Notamacropus eugenii: one gene and its partners. The protein of the gene in region 3 interacts with the protein of the main gene of each other region in a pairwise test. Links are inferred from orthologs where the notes say so. Each region holds a gene or a part of one and is shown on either strand. Other genes may lie near its edges.

Region 1 (6,874 bases), on a different chromosome or scaffold from region 3:
TCCTGGAAAGAGAATTAACAGCTTTGCACAAGATGTACAAAAAACTTGCCTAAGCCACAAAATCCTGAAAAGCAGAATGAATCAAACAGAAGATAATGACTTCATGAAACAAGAAACATTAAAACGATGTCAAAAATTGAAAATGTAGAAAAAATTTAAAGCATGGAACTGTCAAAACCAATTAAACTAGAAAACAAATTGAGAAAAAAACTTAAGAACCACTGGACTATGTAATTAGCTCTAAGAAAAGTTTAGATATCAAATTTTAAGAAAACTACCCACATCTCACTGACAAAGTAAAAATGGAAAAAAAAATCCATCCATCCTACTGAAAGAACAAAATAATAAATCCCAGGAGCATTATACCCAAAATCCAGAGCTTAAAGAAAAAATCAAAGGAAAAAAATCACTATTAGATAAAGAATAGTAGAATGCTATTTGAATTTCCTTTCCTTTATATTGTAAGTCTTTCTCCTGGAACCATGTAGCATTTCTTATCACTGGAATTGTTAAAATTTATCCATTATGTGTCTTAATTTACAATTTTTTTTCCCTGGAGGTGATGTGTGGATGAAGGGAGGAGGATTCTTTCCATTAACATTTGTCTTTCTGGGTAGTTTTTTGGTAGTATTTCTTACTACCAGTGTTCAGATTTTTCTACTTGTCATTCTTCTGGGAGACCCATAATCTTTAAAAAGTACAGGCATTTTATCTTTGAAAGCATTGTTTGCTTCTTTGGAGATCATGGGTTGTTGTTTTTTACTTTTCTTCTAGAGTGTCCTTTCTTCTGTGCATTTGCATTTCCAATCAGTTGTTCTCTCTCCTTTCTTTGGTTAGGTTTCCCATCCTGGGCTCGAGATTTTCTACTCTACCAAATACTTCTGCGTTATATGCCAAATTCTGCTTTTACATTTCTTTTTTCTCTTTTAAATTGTTCAGGAACATTCTACTGCAGTTTCATTCTCTCTTAGGAATTCACATAGTCCTCTGCCTCCTTAGGAAGTGATTCATTTTCCTCTTACAATATTATTTACAGTTATCTGAACTCTTTTACCTGATCTGAGGACCATATTCATCTCTGTTCATGTCTTCCCTCCTAGGTTTTCTGCTTATGTTCAAGATTTTTACTGAATTTTCTTCTTCCTGAGATCTCTGGTAATTTCAATTAGTATTTCCATGGAGAAATTTCCTCTCAGTACTTCGCAGATAATTTATATATTTTTCCAAATCTCAAGAAAAATCAATTGAAATTGTGATTGTTGGAAAGAAAATAAATCCTTAACTTGACTATTTCAACCCGTGATTCTGTGTACTACTGTTAACCTGACTAGATCTGAATAGCGTATTATTCAAATACTTCTCAATGTCTGGTAGAGCAATGAAGTGACTTAACCATTCTAGAAAGTAATTTGAAATTATGCTAAGTAACTAAAATGCTCATAATAGAGTACCACTCCCACACATACAATCCAAAAAGGTCAATGATCCTCTTCCAACCCCCCCACCATCAACACCACCAAAAGGCTCCAAATGCACCAAAATACTTAGAGTAGCACTTTTGGTAGAAGCGAAGAACTGGAAAGAAGTATATGCCTATTGACTGGTAAATGGCTATACAAATTTTGGTAGATTAATGTAATGAAATATTACTCAGCTATAGAAAACAATTAGCATAAAGAATACACAGAAGCATGGGAAGATTTACTGTAAATGATGCAAAGTGAAGTAGACGGATCCAATCAAAATACAGAATGAATGAGTGAAAAGCATGTGTTAATCTAAGAGAATGTCCATAAATTGAGAAATGGCTGAATAAATGTGGTATATGAATGTAATGTAATATTACTGTGATGTAAAACAATAACAAAAGACATGGAATCAGAAAAAAAATGGGAGGACCAATACAAAACAATGTAAAACTAAATGATAAGATACAGAGGAATACAATAGGAAAGTATATGTAGAATCTATACAGAATTGTATGCAGTCGTGGGGAGGGAGGGAGGTAGTGGGGGGTGGGTGGGGAGGGATAAAATCGCAATTGTATGGCAGTGATTGTTAAACATTAAAAAAATAAAAAAATTAATAAAAAAAAAAAAAAGATACAGAGGAATAAAGAAAAACTTTAAAAGACTTAAGAACTATTGTATGGGATCAGAGGACTGAAAGTTTACATCCCTTGGTGGTCACCTAGGCAGCGAGATGGCACAGTGGATAGAGCACAAGGCCTAGAATCAGAAGTTCAAACCTGTCCTCAAATTTTCTAGTAGCATGACCCTGGGCAAGTCACTCAACTTCTGTTTGTCTCGGTTTTCTCTTCCAGAAAATAAGAATTATAACAGCACTATTTCCCAAGGTAGTAGTGAGGATTAAATGAGATAATAATTGTAAAGTGTGTTAGCACAGGGTCTGCAACATAGTAAGCAGTAAGAAAATATTAGCTATCATTATTAATGCAGTGGACAACCACAACTCTTCCAGATTAATGAACACTCTACTCACCTTCTGAGGGAGAGATGATGAGTTTTTAGTGCAGAATGAGACATTTTCATACATAGGTAAATTTGTAGATTTATTTTGCATTGCTAGGCTTTTCTATTTCAAGAATTTTGTGTTGTTCTTCTTAAAGGGGAAAAAAACTATAGCAACACTACACATAGAAAAGAAAGAAAAGAGGGTCACTAAAATATTTTTTCACAGTACAAAAAACACAAGGAACTTCAAGAAACACAAATAATCAAGACAGTTTCAAAATATATTGAATCTATGATATACTTTTCAAAAAAGCAAACTCAAGGGGAGGAGCCAAGATGGTGGAGTAGAAAGATACACATATGCTAGCTCCGAACCCACAGCCCATAAAATACCTGTAAAGAAGAACTCTCAACAAATTCGAGAGCAGCAGAAGCCACAGAACAACGGAGTGGAGGAGATTTCTGTTCCAGAGAGACCTGAAAAACTGACGCCAAAGGTCTGTCGCACACCGGACCCGGAGCAGAGCCCAGCCCTGCCTTGGCTGCACAGCACCAGGAGAGCAGACCCAAGCACGCTTCAGGGACGGAATCTCCAGCAGCCTCGAAGGTCCCTCCACCCACAGGTGCCAAAGGTCAGTGAGAGGGTCCCCATAGGGAGTGGGGTGTCCCCATAACTCAGGCCCCCTCAGGAGGCAGCAGCAGAGGTGGCAGCAGACCAGGGCTTCCAAAGCAGGCAGGAGCTTGGATCCATTGTGGAAGGTCTCCCCGTAAACCCCCTGAGGGAACTGAGCCCCGTGTGGCAGCCCTGCCCCCACCAGAGCACCTGAACTTAATGTCACACAGAATAGCAGCCCCGCCTCCGCCAAAACACTTGGGGCTGGAAGGCAGCATTTGAATCTCAGCCCCTAAGGACTGGCTGGGCGGATCATGAGGCAAGGTGTGTGTGGAGAGGTCACTCAGAAGTCAAGTCGCTGGCTGGGAAAATGCCCAGAAAAGGGAAAAAAAATAAGACTATAGAAGGTTACTTTCTTGGTGAACAGATATTTCCTCCCTTCCCTTCTGATGAGGAAGAACAATGCTTACCATCAGGGAAAGACATAGAAATCAAGGCTTCTGTGTCCCAAACATCCAAAATAAATATTCAGTGGGCTCAGGCCATGGAAGAGCTCAAAAAGGATTTTGAAAATTAAGTTAGAGAGGTGGAGGAAAAACTGGGAAGAGAAATGAGAGAGATGAAAGAAAAGTATGAAAAGCAGGTCAACACCTTGCTAAAGGAGACCCAAAAAAATGCTGAAGAAAATAACACCTTGAAAAATAGGCCGACTCAATTGGCAAAAGAGGTTCAAAAAGCCAATGAGGAGAAGAATGCTTTCAAAAGCAGAATTAGCCAAATGGAAAAGGAGATTCAAAAGCTCACTGAAGAAAATAGTTCTTTCCAAATTAGAATGGAACAGATGGAGGCTAATGACTTTATGAGAAACCAAGAAATCACAAAACAAAACCAAAAGAATGAAAAAATGGAAGATAATGTGAAATATCTCATTGGAAAAACAATTGACCTGGAAAATAGATCCAGGAGAGACAATTTAAAAATTATGGGACTACTTGAAAGCCTTGATCAAAAAAAGAGCCTAGACATCATCTTTTACGAGATTATCAAGGAAAACTGCCCTGAGATTCTAGAACCAGGGGGCAAAATAAATATTGAAAGAATCCACCAAATCACCTCCTGAAAGAGATCCAAAAAGAGAAACTCCTAGGAACATTGTGGCCAAATTCCAGAGTTCCCTGGTCAAGGAGAAAATATTGCAAGCAGCTAGAAAGAAATAATTCAAGTATTGTGGAAATACAATCAGGATAACACGAGACCTAGCAGCTTCTACATGAAGAAATTGAAGGGCATGGAATAGGATATTCCAGAAGTCAAAGGAACTAGGATCAAAACCAAGAATCACCTACCCAGAAAAAGTGAGTATAATACTTCAGGGGAAAAAATGGTCTTTCAATGAAATTGGAGACTTTCAAGCATTCTTGATGAAAAGACCAGAGCTGAAAAGAAAATTTGACTTTCAAACACAAGAATGAAGAGAAGCATGAAAAGGTGAACAGCAAAGAGAAGTCATAAGGGACTTTACTGAAGTTGAACTGTTTACACTCCTACATGGAAAGACAATATTTGTAACTCTTGAAACTTTTCAGTATCTGGGTAGTTGCTGGGATTACATACACATACATACACACAGAGACAGAGAGCACAGAGTGAATGGAATAGGATGGGATTATATCTTAAAAAAATGAAATTAAGCAGTGAGAGAGAAATGTATTGGGAGGACAAAGGGAGAAATGGAATGGGGCAAATTATCTCTCATAAAAGAGGCAAGCAAAAGACTTTTTAGTGGAGGGAAAAAGAGGGGAGGTGAAAGAAAAACATGAAGTTTACTCTCATCACATTCCACTAAAGGAAGGCATAAAATGCACACTCATTTTGGTATGAAAACCTATCTTACAATACAGGAAAGTGAGGGAGAAGGGGATAAGCAGGGTAGGGGGGATGATGGAAGGGAGAGCATGGGGAGGAGGGAGAAATTTGAGGTCAACACTCTTGGGGAGGGACAGGATCAAAAGAAAGAACAGAAGCAAAGGGGGGCAGGATAGGATGGAGGGAAATATAGTCTTACACAACATGACTATTATGGAAGTCATTTGCAAAACTACACAGATACGGCCTATATCAAATTGCCTGCCTTCCAAAGGGAATGGGTGGGGAGGGAGGGATGAAGAGAAGTTGGAACTCAAAGTTTTAGGAACAACTGTTGAGTACTGTTCTTGCTACTAGGAAATAAGAAATACAGGTAATGGGGTATAGAAAGTTATCTGGCCCTACAGGACAAAAGAGAAGATGGGGACAAGGGAAGGGAGGGATGATAGAAGAGAGGGCAGATTGGTGATGGGGCAATTAGAATGCTCAGTGTTTTGGGGTGGGGGAGGGGACAAATGGGGAGAAAATTTGGAACCCACAATTTTGTGAAAATGAATGTTAAAAGTTAAATAAATAAATTTAAAATAAAAAACAAAAAAGCAAACTCACGTAGATTGAACTCACATTGTAAAGGAGACAATACACAAAGTTTCTGCAGCAAATGAGATGGAACACCAACAGGGTCCTTGGGGTGCAGTAGCAAAGCAGATGGCAATTATCTCTTCTTCAGAATCATTCCACTGATAAAACTGTATCAATTTCTGATTTGGAACTATTTGAAAAAGCCAAGGACTCTGGTGGCAAAAACTTTCCCTTCCAGTCTTCTTTACTATGGCTGCAGAAGAAGTTGCTAGGCCATATCTCCAGAGGTGAGTTCCTAAGGTGATGGCTGAAGGTTCTAGGCAGGAAGCACTATTTCTCCCATCTGGAGTTCTGAGTCCTCAACTGTCTCTAAGAGGAGATGGTGGTTACGCTGGGGGGGTAGTAGTGGACGAAGTTGGGGGGGTGGGGTTGTTGATCTGCTTGCCACATGCTGCCTCTCATGTCCTCCTCTGGGTGACTTGCTGCTTCAGCCAGGGTACTTTCCTGTCCTGAATCTAACAGTTGATTGATGGTGAAAGAAGGAAGCATGAACAGGATTAAGGGCACAGTGAGAGGGAGGAGTTTTAAGTAGGACCCTTCTGTTACCAGAGGAAAGGACAGAAGGATGGATAATGATGCTAAAAATTCTTGAGGCATGGAAAAGAAGTGAAGAACAAACATTATGCCTTTCAGTTTTAATGAAGTAAGAGGCTAAGCCATGTGGCACTGAGGTATGAAGGAGAAGGGGAGAAGAAAAGAAAGATGGAGTTAGGAACAGGTACTATCTAAGTATGGTGATATAGACTGTCAAACATCCAGCTGTCTGTAAATCACAGGTAGTGATTTAGTTTGTACAAACTAAATTTCTAGTAGGTGAATTCAGCTCAATTTGACTTTTGTCCATTAATGCTCAGTATCCAAGGAACAGAAGTGTAGAAGCCAGATTTTGGGATGGGGAGCACGGGGAGGTAGGGGTGGGGGGGAGGGGAATTATAGAAAGTAAAGGAGAATTTAGGAAGGTGGGGGGCCAAGAGTACACTGCAGTAACTTCAGTGCTCCACCACAACAAAGGCCCACGTTAAGGACCATAGTGCAAAGAAGCGCATGACATACTAGCATTCTGAAGAGTGTAACACTTACAGAAACGCCATTATCCTGATACATAAAAGCTATTTAAAGAGGCAGAAGGTGACAGCTATTGCCCACTCTCATCTGTGAAAAGTGTCTTCAGTCATTACAACCACCCAGGTCTCAGGAAGATGGAGTCACCACTAAAGAGGACACTACAACACATCACTGGATTATCTAGGAGCAGTGGAATAAAGAGGTCACATACAGC
Region 2 (7,466 bases), on a different chromosome or scaffold from region 3:
CTAATCTACCCGGACCCTCCAGGAATCAATTTTCAAAGGTGTCCAATATCATTGGCTTCACAATCACCAGCCCTACCCCACCTTCCAGCACCTCCTCACCAACTGTCAAATTGCTCACCTAAGGGCTTCTGGTCAATCACAAGCCCAAGATAACTCAAGCACTAAAACCATCATTATTATTTGATACGTGTAAAAAAACTAAGAATGAGCTCAGTTTGAAAGACAAGTGAAGATATTACTTCAGGGTTAAATAGAGTCAGTACTTAACAAGTGTTAAATCCCCCTAGTGACACAAGCACAAACCTTAACCCAGCCTTTCAACATAAACTTTTCTTCAAGTTTGGCATTCACCTGTTATTGTGTCTACCTACATTCTTTAGAAAATTATCTGTTCTTAGAAAATTGGCAGGCTATGCCAAGGACACAGATTTTTATAACCCAGTTTCTTTTTAAAGTCAAAAGGTAGGCTTAAGTTCCCCTAACCCACAGATACACCAGGCACGATGTAAGATAGACCAACCATTTTATTTTCCTCTGACTGGTTCAGGAATGTTGATGGGCAGATAGTTCTTTACATGGGCTTTGGAGGGGGTCTGGGGGCGGCACCCTGCAAAAGTAAAAGAATGAGATAGTTTGTCAGCAACATGGGACCATTATCATTCCAAGCATTTCCCCACTATGGAAAGCAGAAATAGTTCAAACCTCTTTCTTAATCTAGAATCCTTTCACAAATATCAACAAGGAAAAAAATTTACTTAGGGTATGTACTGCTTGTATAATTATCAAAATATAAGGAAATAGCAAATTTTGAAGAGATGTCTATAATTAGAATTACAAATCCAACAATATTGGACGCCTTTGGAATTAATAAACAGTATCCAGCCTCTTTTCCAACTACTTACAGTATTTTCTGGAGACACAGTCTAGTTCCAACCATACCCGCTTTATCTTTAAAGATCCCTCAAAGTTTATTTTCATTTTTTCATTTCCCTATTTAGAATAATCTCTCCTGGAGCAGGGACCTTTTCTTATTAACTTTTCATCAATCCCAAGCAATCCCAGCAGCCTCTAATACCTCTCCCCTTCCTTCTTTTTGTACTCACTCCTGTTAAGAGACTTACCGCGGGTCTGAATCGGGGTGGGGGTGTCCGATCCTTTCGTGCCTCCCGAGAGCGATTCCTCACTACCTTGCTGTGGATCGCGCAGCTCACACAGTAATGTAGCTTCACATACAGCTTGGGCAACACATAGGCTGGTGAAGGAAAAAGCATTAGCACTGCCCTGAGGTGTCATGCCTACCCCAAAGTATACACCAAACGTATTTAGAACGCCAAGTTTTTAGGGAGCTTTTGCATTTTGTAAAATGACTTAAAGTAGAAATTGGCGCTATCAAGCAGATCTGGTCATTCCCCATCCCTCCAAAACGCCCACAGAACCCCCTTTGGGATTCTAGCCTCAAACTCCATTTCCATCATTACCTCCGTTTCCTTAGATTACCCTTCTGTAATGTATGTCACAAAAATGGACCTTACTTAAGGAAAATAAAAGTCTGAACCCTTAATAAGATTAGACTTATTAGATTCTAACAAGATTTAGAATAGAACAGATGCCACCCACACCCAAACTTTGTTTTTCAGTTAAGGAAACCAAAAGCACGTTACTCGACTAGGCATGACCCTTCTCCAGGTCGGGGCTCGTGCCCTAAGGACGCTGGGATGCTGAGGGTCGGGGGCTTAATCCCCCAAACGGCGCCTCGCCGGCCAGGACTTACAGTCGAAGACGCTGGCCTCGGAGATGTCCCTGACGGCCGCGGCTTCCACGATGTTGCGGATAACGAACTTCTTGATGGCCTTGTCCTTGGGCACGCAGCGGGCGCAGTTGGTGCAGCGGATGGGCTGCACGTGGCCGCGGCCCTTCTTGGCGCGTCCGTTGTTCCTTCTCTTCTTGGTCTGAGGCGATGGGGGCCAGAGTCAGGCGGGCCCGCCAGGGGCTCTCCCCGGGCCTTCAGCCTCTCCCCCTCCCGACCACCCGACCCCGCTCCAGTACCGGCGCCCAGCGTCTCTCCGCGCTCCGGGCCCACCCGTGTCCGGCCTCCCCATCCTCTCTCTCTGGCCCGCTTGCCCTGTGGCCGGCCTGAACCCGAGTCTCCACTGTCCTTCTTTATGGGCCTGCGGCCCTCCCCATCTCCCCAGCCCGCCTCCAACGGTCTCGGAACCGGCCTCCCCAAACGCCAGGGACCCCCGCACCGCACGCCGCTCCCTCACCATCTTGGAAGCCAAGAACCGGAAAAGGATCCGGTGGTTCCGCCGTCCGCCTTATATATCTGTATATCCTTGCGCCAACACATGCGCGTAAACAAAGTTTCTCCTCCGAGACTAACCAATCCCAGGATTCACTTAACAAAAGGCTTTACTCCTTAAAAAGCCCGTTTCCTCCGTGAAAAGAGGTTTCTGGAGTTGTTTTGGCCTCGGAGAAAGAGCCCCTTATGGACTATTTTATTTAGGCGTGGAAGAATACATGTAAAACTAATTTCACAAACTATACCCCGCGAGCCTCCGATTTCCCAGAAGCCATTGCTGGGAGTTGTAGCCAGTTAGCTGTAGTGTCTCAAGGAACGCCGGGAGTTGAAGTCCGCCGGGTAGAAGTCAACATGAAGGAGTGCCTTTTGGGAGTTGTAGTTTGAATGCGCCTATAAGCCTACGTGCGCGATGGGGATGTAGTTCAGAGGCGGCCCTCGGGACCCAAAGCCGGGGCCCGACTCCCAGAGGAAGCTTATGTTCCACGTCGCGCGCGTTTGGTCCCTCAATCCTTCCTCTTGGTCCGAGATTCCTTTTCTTTTAAGAATGGGGACAGAAAGGCAGGAGACGAAACAGCTCTTGGCACATCCCACTCCCACCACGGGAAGAAAGACTGCCCTACTCCATATTAACTTCAGGGGCTCCCCCTCGCCTCTCCCCACCAGGGAGGCATTCACAGCCTGCCTTTTTCTCCCTTTCGAGTTTTCTCCTTCGTCCTCCTCTCTCTCCCCTGCCTCTCTTTCTCCCAGATACCTCCGTTCACATCTCCTTTGGGCCCTCGGTTCTGTACAAAGTGTCAGCTTTCAGGCTGTGGGTTCTGGTGATGATCGATGGCAGCTGGCATACTACTGGGTGCTCAGTAGGCATTCAGTAAACATGTTTAATGAAGTCCCATGCCCTCCAGAGGTAACTGCCCTCGAGGAGTCGGGGCCAAAAAGGCCTGGAAGTCTGTTCGGATAGCAGCCCTAGGATGAAGAGTCTCTCCAACTCCTATCCCAGGATTTACAAACTCTTGATTGTGCCCTAGAGCCCATCCTGATATTTCAAGTCAACCTCTCTTGCTTTAATAGTTTCATTTGGGGATTTCTTGCTTAATCTCTCTCGAAACTCTTAATTTTACGTGGCCCAAACTACTAAGGACAAAGTGAATCAGAATAAAAACATAGTGATAAAGTGTTTTCAGTCCTTCCAACAGAACAGCAAAGTAGGGGAAGTTTGCAAAGACAGGAGGTGTTAAATTACTCATGTTTATTTATAACAGACCTTCAGCCAGTACAGTACAAAACTTACAGTAGTATATTCTTCGTTACACAAATATTTACTTACAATATATTACAGATACAAAACGCTTCGCAGTTAAGTCTCAAAAGCAAGTTTGACTCCCCTTAAGAAGGGAAAGAACTCTCAAAAAAAGAGGGGGCACCCAGAAGAGGAGAGAGGACAGGGATCAAGAAAGACACCAAGTCTAGGATACAAATGAAAACCCTGGGAAAGAGAAAGAGGACAGAGGTGGTATTGCACTTTTTTCTTTTTTTCTTTTTTCTTTTTTTTTTGTTCATCATAATGTCTGATTAAAAATATATATATATAATATGTACACAAGGAAAGAAGCTGCTAGGAGTGTTACAAAAATCCCTCCGCAGCCTGGAGACAGACATGGAAAAAAAACCCAAAGGTTTGGAAAAGTATCTGCTTAGAAAGGGTTTTGTTGTTGTTTTTGAATTTTGTTAGAAAAGGAAAACACCTCTTTCCTCCACATAGGTTTCAGGGTTTATTTTTTTTTCTTTTTTCTCCTTCTTTTCTTTTTTTTCTTTTTTTCTTTTTTTTAACAAAAGGAGCTGGGAGGAGGGGTGAGCACATTTGAGGTCCCAGAGCCAAAGGGGCTCTGGGGAAGTAGGGCTTTGTACTTAAGACCCTGGTTAAAGTGCAGTGATGATCTGGAAAGTGATGGTGTCCCCTTCTTCCCCTATCTAGAGTCTTATCTTGCTCCCAGCCCCCAAGTCTTTGCTCTCCTGGGCATAGCAATAGCCTCAGAACATGATTTTGTTTTGTTTTGAATTTTCGGGGGTGAGGGTTATCACAGGTTTGCCAAAGTAGAATGGGGAAAGAATGTGGGTAGGACCCTAAGGCTCTGATCTCCCTGGAGGGAATAGTCCCTATGGGGAGTCACAATCACAAACAGAATACTGTAGTAGTTCCCAGCTGAGAAAGGGACGGAGTAGGAAGGGGCTCAATGTCCAGATCTACTCTGCAAAAGTGGAGTAGGGAGGTAGGAGAACAGCATCTTGCTGGAAAGAACCTTCCTTTAGAGACCCTTCTATCCTTCCCCTCTACTTCTGTCTTTGTTCCCCTACCCCTCACCTCCCTGACCCTGGCAGCATCTGTTTATTGCTACATTGTCCAGGAGGAACAGACGGGTTCATCACAATGATGCTCCACTCTACACCTATCTGGGTCTCATCAAGGAAACCTCAGGGTAGTGGAGGAAGAGGAGAAAACTGTTTTAGGATGTCCTCCCCACAAGGGGGTGAGAGAGACTCCTCTCAGAGGCCCAAGTACCACAATCCTGGGTTCTGTCCCCCAGTCAACCCTGCAGCGTCCTTCCCTGGGGACCCCTAAGAGATCCCTGAGGAGGGAGAAAAGGGAGAAGAGGCAGAAGAGGCAATGAGGAAAGGAGTCGTAGGAAGAAAAGGAGGGTAGGAATTGGAGGAGAAAAGTGAGAGGAAAGAGAGAAGGACCAAGTGTTGCAACTTGTGAGGTGGTTGTGTTTTTGTTTTTTTGTTTTTTTTTTGTTTTTAACGTAGAAAAAAAAACAGCCTTTGGTTTGAACCTCAAGGAAGCAAGAGAGCCAGGTGGCTGTGGCCCTGGGCTGGGACTCCATGTGTATAGAGATGCTTCCCCTTCCCAGGGGCCTCTGCCTCCCTCCCAGACCAACAAGAACAGCCAAGCATGCTTCAGGAACCAGGAGGGAAATGAATTCCTCCTTCCCTGCTTCCTTGGCACCAGGCATGAAGGGGGCAGTGAAGGACGCCCTCAGTCCAGATGTGCTGGACCCATTCTCCCTCGGGCAGGGGTAGGGTAGGGGCAAGGGAACATGCCCACCCTGCAATCATTTTTGGTTATATTGAAATAATTAAAAGGAGGAAAGAAACATCCCTTTCTTATGACCACTGACCCTGAGGATGGAGCCTCAGAGCTCAAGAATGGGATGGTAATCCCTGCTGGGGAGGGTGAAGGCAGTAAGACTGAAGGGCTGGGTCTCCTCCTTGTCTTCAGGCAGCAATAGACTTAATTGGTTTTTCGTAAGGTGGGAAAGCCCCTGAGTGCCTAGAGAGGTTTCTGGGGTGAGGGAGTCAATTGAAGAAGCATTGAGAAGAGAAGAATCTTGTCTTCTCCCTGTCCTCTATTTCCAATTTGGTGAGGATCTTTTACTCCCAATGCTTCAGAGACAGAAAAAGGTGCAGACCCAGCTTTCACCCCTGAGGATATCAAATTGGGGTGCCCCAAGTGGAGGGAAGTCACCACTGAGCACACAGACTGGTTGGAGGACCAGAACAGCCCCTGTGAGGTTGAAGGGAGAGGATATCACATCCTAGTGGGAGACCCAGAGTGCAAATGCAGGCTTCAGAGTATTCATATTATTAGGGGAACGAGTGAGAGGATTCTGAGCCTCACAGTGCCCTGGAGTGAACTTTTTCAACCCTCTCCTCCCCCTAAATGGGGGATATCCTTCATTCATTCATTCATTCAAGAACAGTGCAAGCTGCCCAAGGTGAGAGGGCAGAGAGGTATGGAGTGCCAGGGGAGGGGTGTCCCAGAGAGGAGATATAATGCCACAGAGCAATGGTGGGGCCAGGAGGCACCGGCACCGGAACTGAGGAGTCTGGCAGTGTAAGTGAGGGGTGAGGATCAGGGACAGCAGTAGGCCAATGCCCCTCCAAACTCTAGAGAGCTTTCTACCCCACTGTCCTAGGGATGTGGAGGAAGCAGGAAATTAGGTTTGGACAAGAGAAGAGAATGGGAGTGCAGAATGGCAGCTATCTGACAGACTTTTCCTTAGAGAGCAAAAACCCTCCATCTAATAATCTTACTAAATAACTTAGTGTGCATTTGGGGAGGCATAGGGGTTGAAAAAAAAGGAAGAATCAAAACAAAAGACCTGTTTCATCACAACGCTTAAATAAATCAGCTTGGCAACTTGCAGAAAGGAGAGGGCAGAAATGGCGAGGAGGCAAGTGTGAAATCAGGCAGCCAGGGATTATGTCTGTGTGACAGGCTACAAAAGCAAAACTTAGTCAGGTAGAAAAGTGGACAGTGGGAGGCAGGGGTGAGCTGGGAGGGCTGGACACCTCGGAAGGGCTGGGTTGGAGGGGAGGCCAGAGATCACTAGCCTACTTTGTGTTCCCCTCGGACAATGTGGGAGGAGAACTCGTACCGGTCCTGGCTGTGGTAGCCACAAATGTTGCACTCGAAAGGGTCCCTGAAGCCGTGGCAGCCCATGTGGATGGTGAACATGACGTGGTCCAGGAAAAGGATGCGGCAGTGCTCACATTTGAAGGCCTTCACTGGCTCTCCGTCCTCACCTACCACCCGCAGCACTTCCTTGGCAGGGCCAGGAGCACTCCGGGGAAGCCCTTCCTGCATCTTGGGGTCCTCTTTGGCGTAGGCAGGGCTGGGCCGGCTCCCCACAACCAGAGCAGGGGCTGACTGATTTGAGGAACACTGAGGGGTGGTTACAACCCCCCCACCCCGCTCCTCATGATTGCTCTCTGTGTCTGTGGAGTCCTGGCAGCCATTGCTGGGGGAGACCCCAGGGTCAGCCAGGGGACCCCGAGCCCGATAGAGGAGAGGACCCCCATCAGCCAGGTCCTCATGCCCCTCGCTGGCTTCCCGAGTTCCAGATAGCTCCAGTCGGCCCGGGAGTGGCTGCATCTGGGTGTAGACGGAACTTATGACAGGTGTGAGCTCTGAGATGCAATTGGCAGGTGGAAGGCGAAGTGGCCGCAGATGCTCTGCGCCCACAAAGGCTAGTGAGCCAAATCCAGGCTCCAAACCGTGGTGTGCAACCAGCTCCACATCCTTCTCATAACCACCTGAATTCATGTCAAAGGGGAGATCGGAGAGGCTAAAGCGCATCTGCTTCTCACCTGCAGGGAAGGAGAAAACACT
Region 3 (7,292 bases):
ACCATAAGGAAAGAAGCCTTTATGAAAGGCCCATTGTGCTTGGAGCGCTGTGCTAAGCAATGTTTACAAACACCTTGTTTGATTCTCACAACAACCCAGTGAGGTAGCTGCTCTTTTTTACATCTGAGGACTCGGGAGCCAAGTGCATTCAGCGGCTAACAGTGACTTGGCCAGCTGGCGTCTAAGGCCGGATTGGCTCTCTCTGATCAGAGCTGTCTAATAACAAATGATGGCAACAAGGCAGGACTTAACCCAACTTAGATTTGGTTGGTGTCTTTAGCTAAGTAAAATGCCATTTGGGCCAGAAACTAAAATGGCTACCAGGGAGTGGGCACCCAAGACAAACAGAGCTCATGCTAACTGGGCTTCTCTACATAGCTGAGCCATGAAGAAGGGCCATGAACTGGTGCCTGCAAGCAGATCCGGAGCAATGGCTGAAGCACCAGGAGACCACTGAAAGGCCCACCTTTCAAAAGAGGCTAAAAAACAAATCAACAAGTTTGAGCTGAACTCCTGGCAAAATTGTAGAATGTCTTCAAAGGCTTATTAGGATTACTGACAATCTAGAGCAGGAAGTGCTGATCAGAAAGGGACAAGTTATGGAGGTGGAGCCTCAGTGGCAGAGCTCTACCCCTCCAATGCTTCTTCAAAGATCTAGAAAATGCCCCAATGAGTCTAGAGTGGGCAAACCAACAAAAAAGCCAAATCTCAGCAAGTCATTTTTCCAGTCCAGATCGGCTTATGGACACAGAATGTCTGTAGACGCTGAGGGCCTGGAATAGCAGGATGTTCAGTATGTCAAGAAAACAGTAGTGGGAACTTAGAGCACACTAAGATCAGTTCAGGGTTTCCTCCAGATGTTTGCAGAGTCCTACCTTAACATAAAGAACAAGTTATGACTAGCTACCCTTACTGCTTTTGTGCCAAAATTGTGAAATTGGTAGATCGCAGGAATCCTGCAGATTGAGTTTCCTGAGATTTTCTGAAGGCATTTGACCAAGTACTATTCTTGCAGAAGAGATGGAGAAATGCTCACTGGATAAAAGAACAGCTAGGTGAATTTAGAAATTGCCACCTATGTGAGCGACCCTGGGCAAGTCACAGCCTCTCCACCTCAGTTTCCTTACATGTAAAACTGGGACAGTAATAGCACCTGCCTCACTGTTTGGTTGCATGGCACAAGTTAAACCATTATATAAATGGAGGCTGTTGTTAGTTGCAGTCAATTTGGTGGGAGGAGATTCTTAAGGATATTCTGGGAATTTGCCCTTGCCCTGATGGTGGCTTAATGTGTTTCTCCACAATTTGTCTACATCAGAGGCATCCGGCTCACCCAGAAACAGATTAAAAAGTGATTAAGAAAACGTTTAACAAGTAAAAAACACAATGCAACACTGCTAATGTTAATTTGTAGTTTCCTCAACTTGTGGCAGGGAAACCTTGAACTGGTCTATGAACTGGAATGAACTTTAGAAGTCATCTAGTCTAATCATTTATTTTACAGAAAAGAAAACCACAGAAATGTATACTTACCCAAACTGCAAATGACCAGTTTGGGAGGGAGTCAGGATCAAAAAGATTTAGGGTTAGGGTTAGACTAGAATGATCGGCCCAAGTCAGTAAGAAATATTATGAATTTTATGATCAGGTTGAGGAGAGGTCTCCTCCTGCTTCTGGCCTAGGCAGTCCCCTCTTCCTCACCTCCATTTCCTCATCTCCCCCATCTATTTCTTCCTCCTGGTCTGAGTCATCATTGGTCTGGTTGACTGTCTGGGCCTCCACAGCTTTGACATCCTTCTGCTTCTGGCTCATCTGAGTGATGAACTCTCTCAGCAAGGGTTCTTCACCACTCTGGCAGTATCTGAACATTGTCTGGAGCTGCTGGCTTACCTGGTAGACACCCCCACCACAGGTATACTTATGAGTTTGAATTTATGGTCATGGGCCAGGGGAGAGATGAAAGGAAGAAAATATGACACTCCTAATCAGCCTGCAAAGTAACAAGGAGGCTGGCCAACAGGAGGGTAGCTGGCTTTGAACTCCAGCTCCAAATCCTGTTAGTTCCAAATGGGGGGGAGGGGGGATATGCTGGAAGGGGTGGTCTCAGCTTGAAGGCAGAGAAGCCTCAAAGGTTGAAGGGAGAGAATTTTACTTGGGAAGCCTTGTTAAGGATGGAAACATGGGGACACCCTGGAGGTAGGATGCTGTTCCAACAGAACTGGATGAGGGTCTAGAGTGGGGCCTTGGGAATGGAGAGGCGAGGGCTGGGGAGGGCAGATCTAGAATCTGGTGCCTTGGGGCACGGGGGGCTGACCTGGGGCAGGCTTCCATCTTCTACCAGAGTATCAAATTCGGTGCTCATGATGTCAGCCAGGAAGTCCTCCACCTCATCCCGCTCTAAATCAGCTGGGAAGGGAGCGATCCCAGCCAAGAGCACTAATTAGAGCCTGCCCAGACGCTCTGGGATCCCGTCCTTGTCCCGCTGGTCCCCCCTCCCGGTACTCCACTCACCGTTCTGGAAGAAATAGTCCCGGACGGCTCCCCCGAGCCACAGGGCCTTCTCACGGCTGTGGGCTCCCCCGAAGCTGTTTTCCACGGCGATCTGGGACAGGAGACATACTGGCAGCGCCCTGCGGGGAACGACGCGGGGGGGGGGGGGGGGCCTCTCTTCCCCCTTCCTCCAGGCGCTCCCTTCCTCCCCTCCCCTCACTTCCGGGGTCCGCTCGCTCCCTCCTTCCTCCCGCCTCGGAGCCGCCTCAGTTTCTTGGTACGGGGAAGGAGCATGCTCGAAGCTCCCTCCCCTGTCCGGCACCCTTACCTGCAGCGCCGGCCAGGCCTCCAGCACTGCCTGAACACCGGCGCCAAACAAGGCCCACGCCTGGTCCGCAGACGCCGCCATGTCCGACCCCACCGCCGCCAGTCCCAAGAGATTGGCCGCTCGGCACAGCACGCAGGGCGGGTCGATGGCGGACGGCCAATCCCGTCCCGCCTTCGCGCCCCGGCGTATCCTCCGCCCTCCTGCGCCTGCGTGCGCATGCGGAATGGGTCCTTCGCCGCCAGTCTTCTCTGAGATTTAGGGCTGCGGCTCCGCCCCCACTCCACCTGCGCTGAGCCGAGCTGAGCCGGGCGGAGCTGGGCCGAACTGATGAGGCCCGGTCCCAGCCTCCCAGTCCATTTTTCTGAGCGTCTTTCTCGCGTTCTCTCGCTTGCATGCGGTCAGTGAGTCAGTAAAAGCATTGATTAAGCGCCTACTGCGTGCCGGGGTAAACTCTGGGGATAGAAGGAGGGGGCCAAAGCTAGCCCCTGCCCTCAAGGAGTTCCCAGTCTAACGAGGGAGAACGGTCCTAGAGTGTCGGCCCGAGAATCTCTAGGTGGGAGAAAGGGGAGCAAATGAGCAGGGGTGAGGAGTCAGGAAGGGCTCCCCGCAAAGCGTTCTGGGAACAGGCCAAAGAGTGTGAAGCTGCTCTGGTTGCTCTGCTTCGGGCTTTCCTGGCGGCGGCTCATCCCCCACCTGCCCCTTCATCTGCCTTTTTCCCTCCGGGGCCCTTTCTCTGTGGATCTCTCTCTCTTTCTTTGTCTCTCTGTCCCCATGCGTCTCTGCTTTTCATTTTCCGGCTCTTGAATCTCTATGGCCGTCTCTTCTTTTCCCGGTCTAACGATTGTCCTTCTGCCCTTTATGGCCGCCTACAATAGATGGCTCTGTGTTATCTCTAATTTACTCCTTACCATCTGGCTTCCAACCTTATCATTCTCTCCAGAGTTAGGAGGGATCTCTCAGTTGCCAAGTCCAGTGGCATTTTCTCAATTCTCAGCAGCCCTGGCCACTGTTATTGGGCACTCTCCTCCTTGATCCTTTCTAGGTTTATGGAACTCCCCTCTCTGTCTCCATTCTCCTCCTCCCTCTCTGACCGCCCCTTCTCTGTCTCCTTTGCTGGATCCTCCTCCTCCTCCTCTAGATCACACCCTCTAACCACAGGCTCTGTCCTGGGCCCCCTTCACTTCCCCTTCCATCCTACATCTCTATGCTGATGGTCAATTCTGCCCCACCCTCTCTGCTGACCTCCAAACTCCTATCTCCAGCTGCCTTTCAGACATCTTGAACTGGATGTCCAGTGGGCACCTTGAACACATGCAAAATGGAACTCTTTTTCTTTTCCCTAATCTGCCCATCCCACCTTCTTTATTACTGTGGAGGGTAATGCCATCCCCTCAGTCTTCTGGGCTGACAACCCAGGTCTCATCCTGAACTCCATTCTCCCTCACCTATCCAAGCTGTTACCAAGGCCTGTCAGTTTTACCTTTGATGTCTGATATCTGCCCCCCTTCTCAGTCTGACCCTGCCCCCACGTTGGTCTTGCCCAGCATCACCTCACACCTTGAACTATTGTAATAGCTGATAGAGTCTGCCTGCCTCAGGTCTTTCCTAAAGTAAGGTCCCCTTTCCCCACATAGTAAACTTCAGTGACTCCCTAGAGCCTCTGGGATCAAATACAAAATGCTCTGTTTGGTTTTCCAGCCTTTCATGCCCTGCCCCCTCCTCCCCTTTTTTCACTCAGCTCCCTGACAGACTGTCTTCCATTCAGTGTTATTGGCCTGACTGTTCCTCAAAGTCCACCTTCCATCTTTCAGCTCTGGACAGTTTCTCTAGTTGTCCCCATGCCTCAAATACTCTTGCTCCTTGTCTGTCTTCCCTGGTCTCCTGGAATCCCAGCTAAATCTCATTTTCTTCTGGAAGCCTCTCCTACCCCCTTCAAATTCGAGGGTCTTGTCTGTCTCAATCATTTTCAATTCATCGTGCAGCTTGTTTGTGTGTGTTTGTTTGCTTGTGGTCTCCCCCAGAGTCCAGGTTTTGCCTCTTTGGGTATCCCCAGTGCTAGCACAGTGCCTGGCCAATAGTAGGTGCTTCATAAATATTCACTGACCAACGGACTGATTTTGTCTTTCTGTGCCACCGTCCCCAGCTCATTTCTCTTTCCATCCCTAGCATGGTCTTTGTATTTGTCCCTTTCCATCATTCCCTCAAGTTGTGTTTCTGTCTGTTCTTTTAAATTAGGACCTGTTCTAACCACCACCACCCCACCCCACCCCAGTAATTGCTTTCTGGCCTATCTCGATGGCAGACTCCCCCCAATAAAAAGTACTTAACAGAAAGCCCGGAAGGTCAACCTGACCATTGCATCTTCTCCATGCTTTACAGTCTAGAGACTGACTCCGGGAAATTCAAACAGCTAACTTGGCAATTTAGGCACAACAACAACTAAGTCTGGCACTTTTGGCCTTTGTTTTGCCATGAGGCCTGGCTCAAATGAACTGATGGTCGAGCTGTCTTGAGATGAGAGCACCCCTTGGACACCTGCACCCACACCAAACTGAGTCTACATCGTAGTCAGGTGTAATGGCTTCCTGGGAATTGTTTGATCTTACATTCCACAGCTAGCTGACAAGCCCACCCCCATCTCCAAAACAAGGATGTCAAATCCCAAAGCTCAGGCGGGGAGACAATGGTAATGCCTACCTTGGCTACTAATCCCTGCCTTGGAGTCCCTACCCCTGAGATGTGAGCCAAAACTGACCAGTCCCACCTGGCAGAGAGGGTGGGCACAATGAGGGACCATGTAGGGAGCACACCACTCTCCCACTAGAAATAGATTTAGGCATTGCTCAAATCTCAGGTGGTTTTAGATGCCCTCAAAGAATTCCCCAAGATTTATTATCTCATTTGAATAACATGTATTGTTTCTGGGCTCCTGATCTTTTTGTCTCTCTGAGATGACCACAGATTTACTCTCAAATCACTCATGTGGAGAATTGTTTGCATCCAAAATGGACAGGAGACCTTGATGGATTCTTCTATTTATTTGGCCTCACTGAGAGACTCTCTCTTGTATCGTGCAGCAGTCCTGGTCCAACCCTATCTGGGAATTTGTCTGTCTCTCAGTTTTTTTTCCCTCTCACACTCCATGTCTGTCTGTCTCAACCTGTTTGTCTCTCTCTCTCTTGTCTCTGGCCTGTGTGTATCCTAATCTGTCCCTCCTTCCCTCTGTTCACCTCAGTGTACCTTTCTGTCCATTTTTGTGTCTGCCTCTGATACTCTTTCCTTCTCCCTCTCCCCCCCAAGCCTGGGTCTATTTTATGTGTATGTCTCTGTGTTCCTGTAGGTGGCTGGGTATGGGTCTCTCTACTCCTCTCTTTCCTTTTTTTGGTCTCCTCTCTCTCCAATGTCATTTAATCAACATCCCCCACACACACACACTATATATCAGGAGAAGGGAAGTGGAAAAAGTGTTTGTATAGGCCTACTATGGCTGAAGCACTGCTCAGTGCTTTGTACAAATAGGACCTCCTTTCACAGAAATGTGTACTGGGCATAGAAATACATCCACACAAAGTCCCTGGGCCCCATTGGCATTGCTCCACTTCAAGCCTCAGTTTCTTCTTTGGAAGTAGCCCCTTTTGACTTTCTGCAATCCTAAGCAGCTTCCCCTGGAAAATGAGGGGGTCTGACTAGGGGGCTGCAGTCACTTTCAGCTCTGGAACTTTCCCCACTCTTTATTTTCCTCTGGAATGTGGCCCTGAGCTATTCTCTACCCATCTGGGCCTTAGTTTTCCTTCTTTCTGTCAAATGCAGGGTCAATTTCATGATCTTCAAGATGCCTTCTAACTTGAAAGCCTGGTGAATTTGCTTTGTTCCAGGAAAGGTAAAGGCATCCCATCATCTGGAGTGTCATAGGGTCAGATCTAAGGGCAGTTACTCTAGCTGCAGCTTGGAGGATGACTGGAGGCAGAGAGACTAGTGAGGTGAGGAAGGAGAGAACCAGGGTGGGGGTATAAGTAGAGAGAAGGGTTTGGATGGGAGACATGCCATAGGCTAGAAATGATTGAATATGTGAACTGAATGAGGAGTCAAGGATGATGCATGCCCCGGGGACTAGAAGAAGGTACCTTCCACAGAAACTGGGAAATTGGGTAGAGATAAAAGTTTCTGAGGAAAGACCAGTTCAGTTTTAGACATGTTGAATTAGAGATGTCCCTGGGACATCCAGTCTGAAATATCCAATAGGTAATGGGGATCGAGTGAGGGAAGATCATGGCCAGCAATGGGCCAGATGTTTAGAAATAGATGTTTAGAACATCTAAACATCTAACAGATGTTTAGAAATAGAAGTATGTTCTCAACACTGCTATTAAATCACTCTACTCTCCTATGGTGCCCTCCCCCCCTTCAGGGTTCCAGAGAAGCTCTAGAAAAAGTGTGAGCCTCCCAGGACTGTCCAAGGACCCTCTTTTAGAAT

The links.
Region 1: the proteins of TSR2 (region 3) and PIAS2 interact in binary tests that used the Homo sapiens proteins (3 or more experiments, as listed by UniProt). The two-hybrid records come from large-scale screens. The link is inferred for Notamacropus eugenii from reciprocal best matches to the Homo sapiens genes TSR2 and PIAS2.
Region 2: the proteins of TSR2 (region 3) and RPS26 interact in binary tests that used the Homo sapiens proteins (3 or more experiments, as listed by UniProt). The two-hybrid records come from large-scale screens. The link is inferred for Notamacropus eugenii from reciprocal best matches to the Homo sapiens genes TSR2 and RPS26.

What each region holds. Positions count from the first base shown.
Region 1 is NC_092875.1:326,636,537-326,643,410, reverse strand, and holds the start of PIAS2 (E3 SUMO-protein ligase PIAS2), read right to left. Parts: upstream 3,007-6,874; 5' UTR 2,868-3,006; exon of another isoform or gene 2,651-2,867; 5' UTR 2,584-2,650; coding exon 2,503-2,583; intron 1-2,502. UniProt on the Homo sapiens protein: Functions as an E3-type small ubiquitin-like modifier (SUMO) ligase, stabilizing the interaction between UBE2I and the substrate, and as a SUMO-tethering factor.
Region 2 is NC_092874.1:231,230,885-231,238,350, reverse strand, and holds RPS26 (small ribosomal subunit protein eS26), read right to left. Parts: upstream 2,568-7,466; 5' UTR 2,268-2,567; coding exon 2,265-2,267; intron 1,950-2,264; coding exon 1,772-1,949; intron 1,253-1,771; coding exon 1,122-1,252; intron 608-1,121; coding exon 572-607; 3' UTR 507-571; downstream 1-506. Other genes in the region: IKZF4 (zinc finger protein Eos), read right to left, coding at 6,684-7,444.
Region 3 is NC_092879.1:102,611,607-102,618,898, reverse strand, and holds the start of TSR2 (pre-rRNA-processing protein TSR2 homolog), read right to left. Parts: upstream 3,012-7,292; 5' UTR 2,900-3,011; coding exon 2,819-2,899; intron 2,603-2,818; coding exon 2,512-2,602; intron 2,407-2,511; coding exon 2,315-2,406; intron 1,891-2,314; coding exon 1,702-1,890; intron 1-1,701. UniProt on the Homo sapiens protein: May be involved in 20S pre-rRNA processing.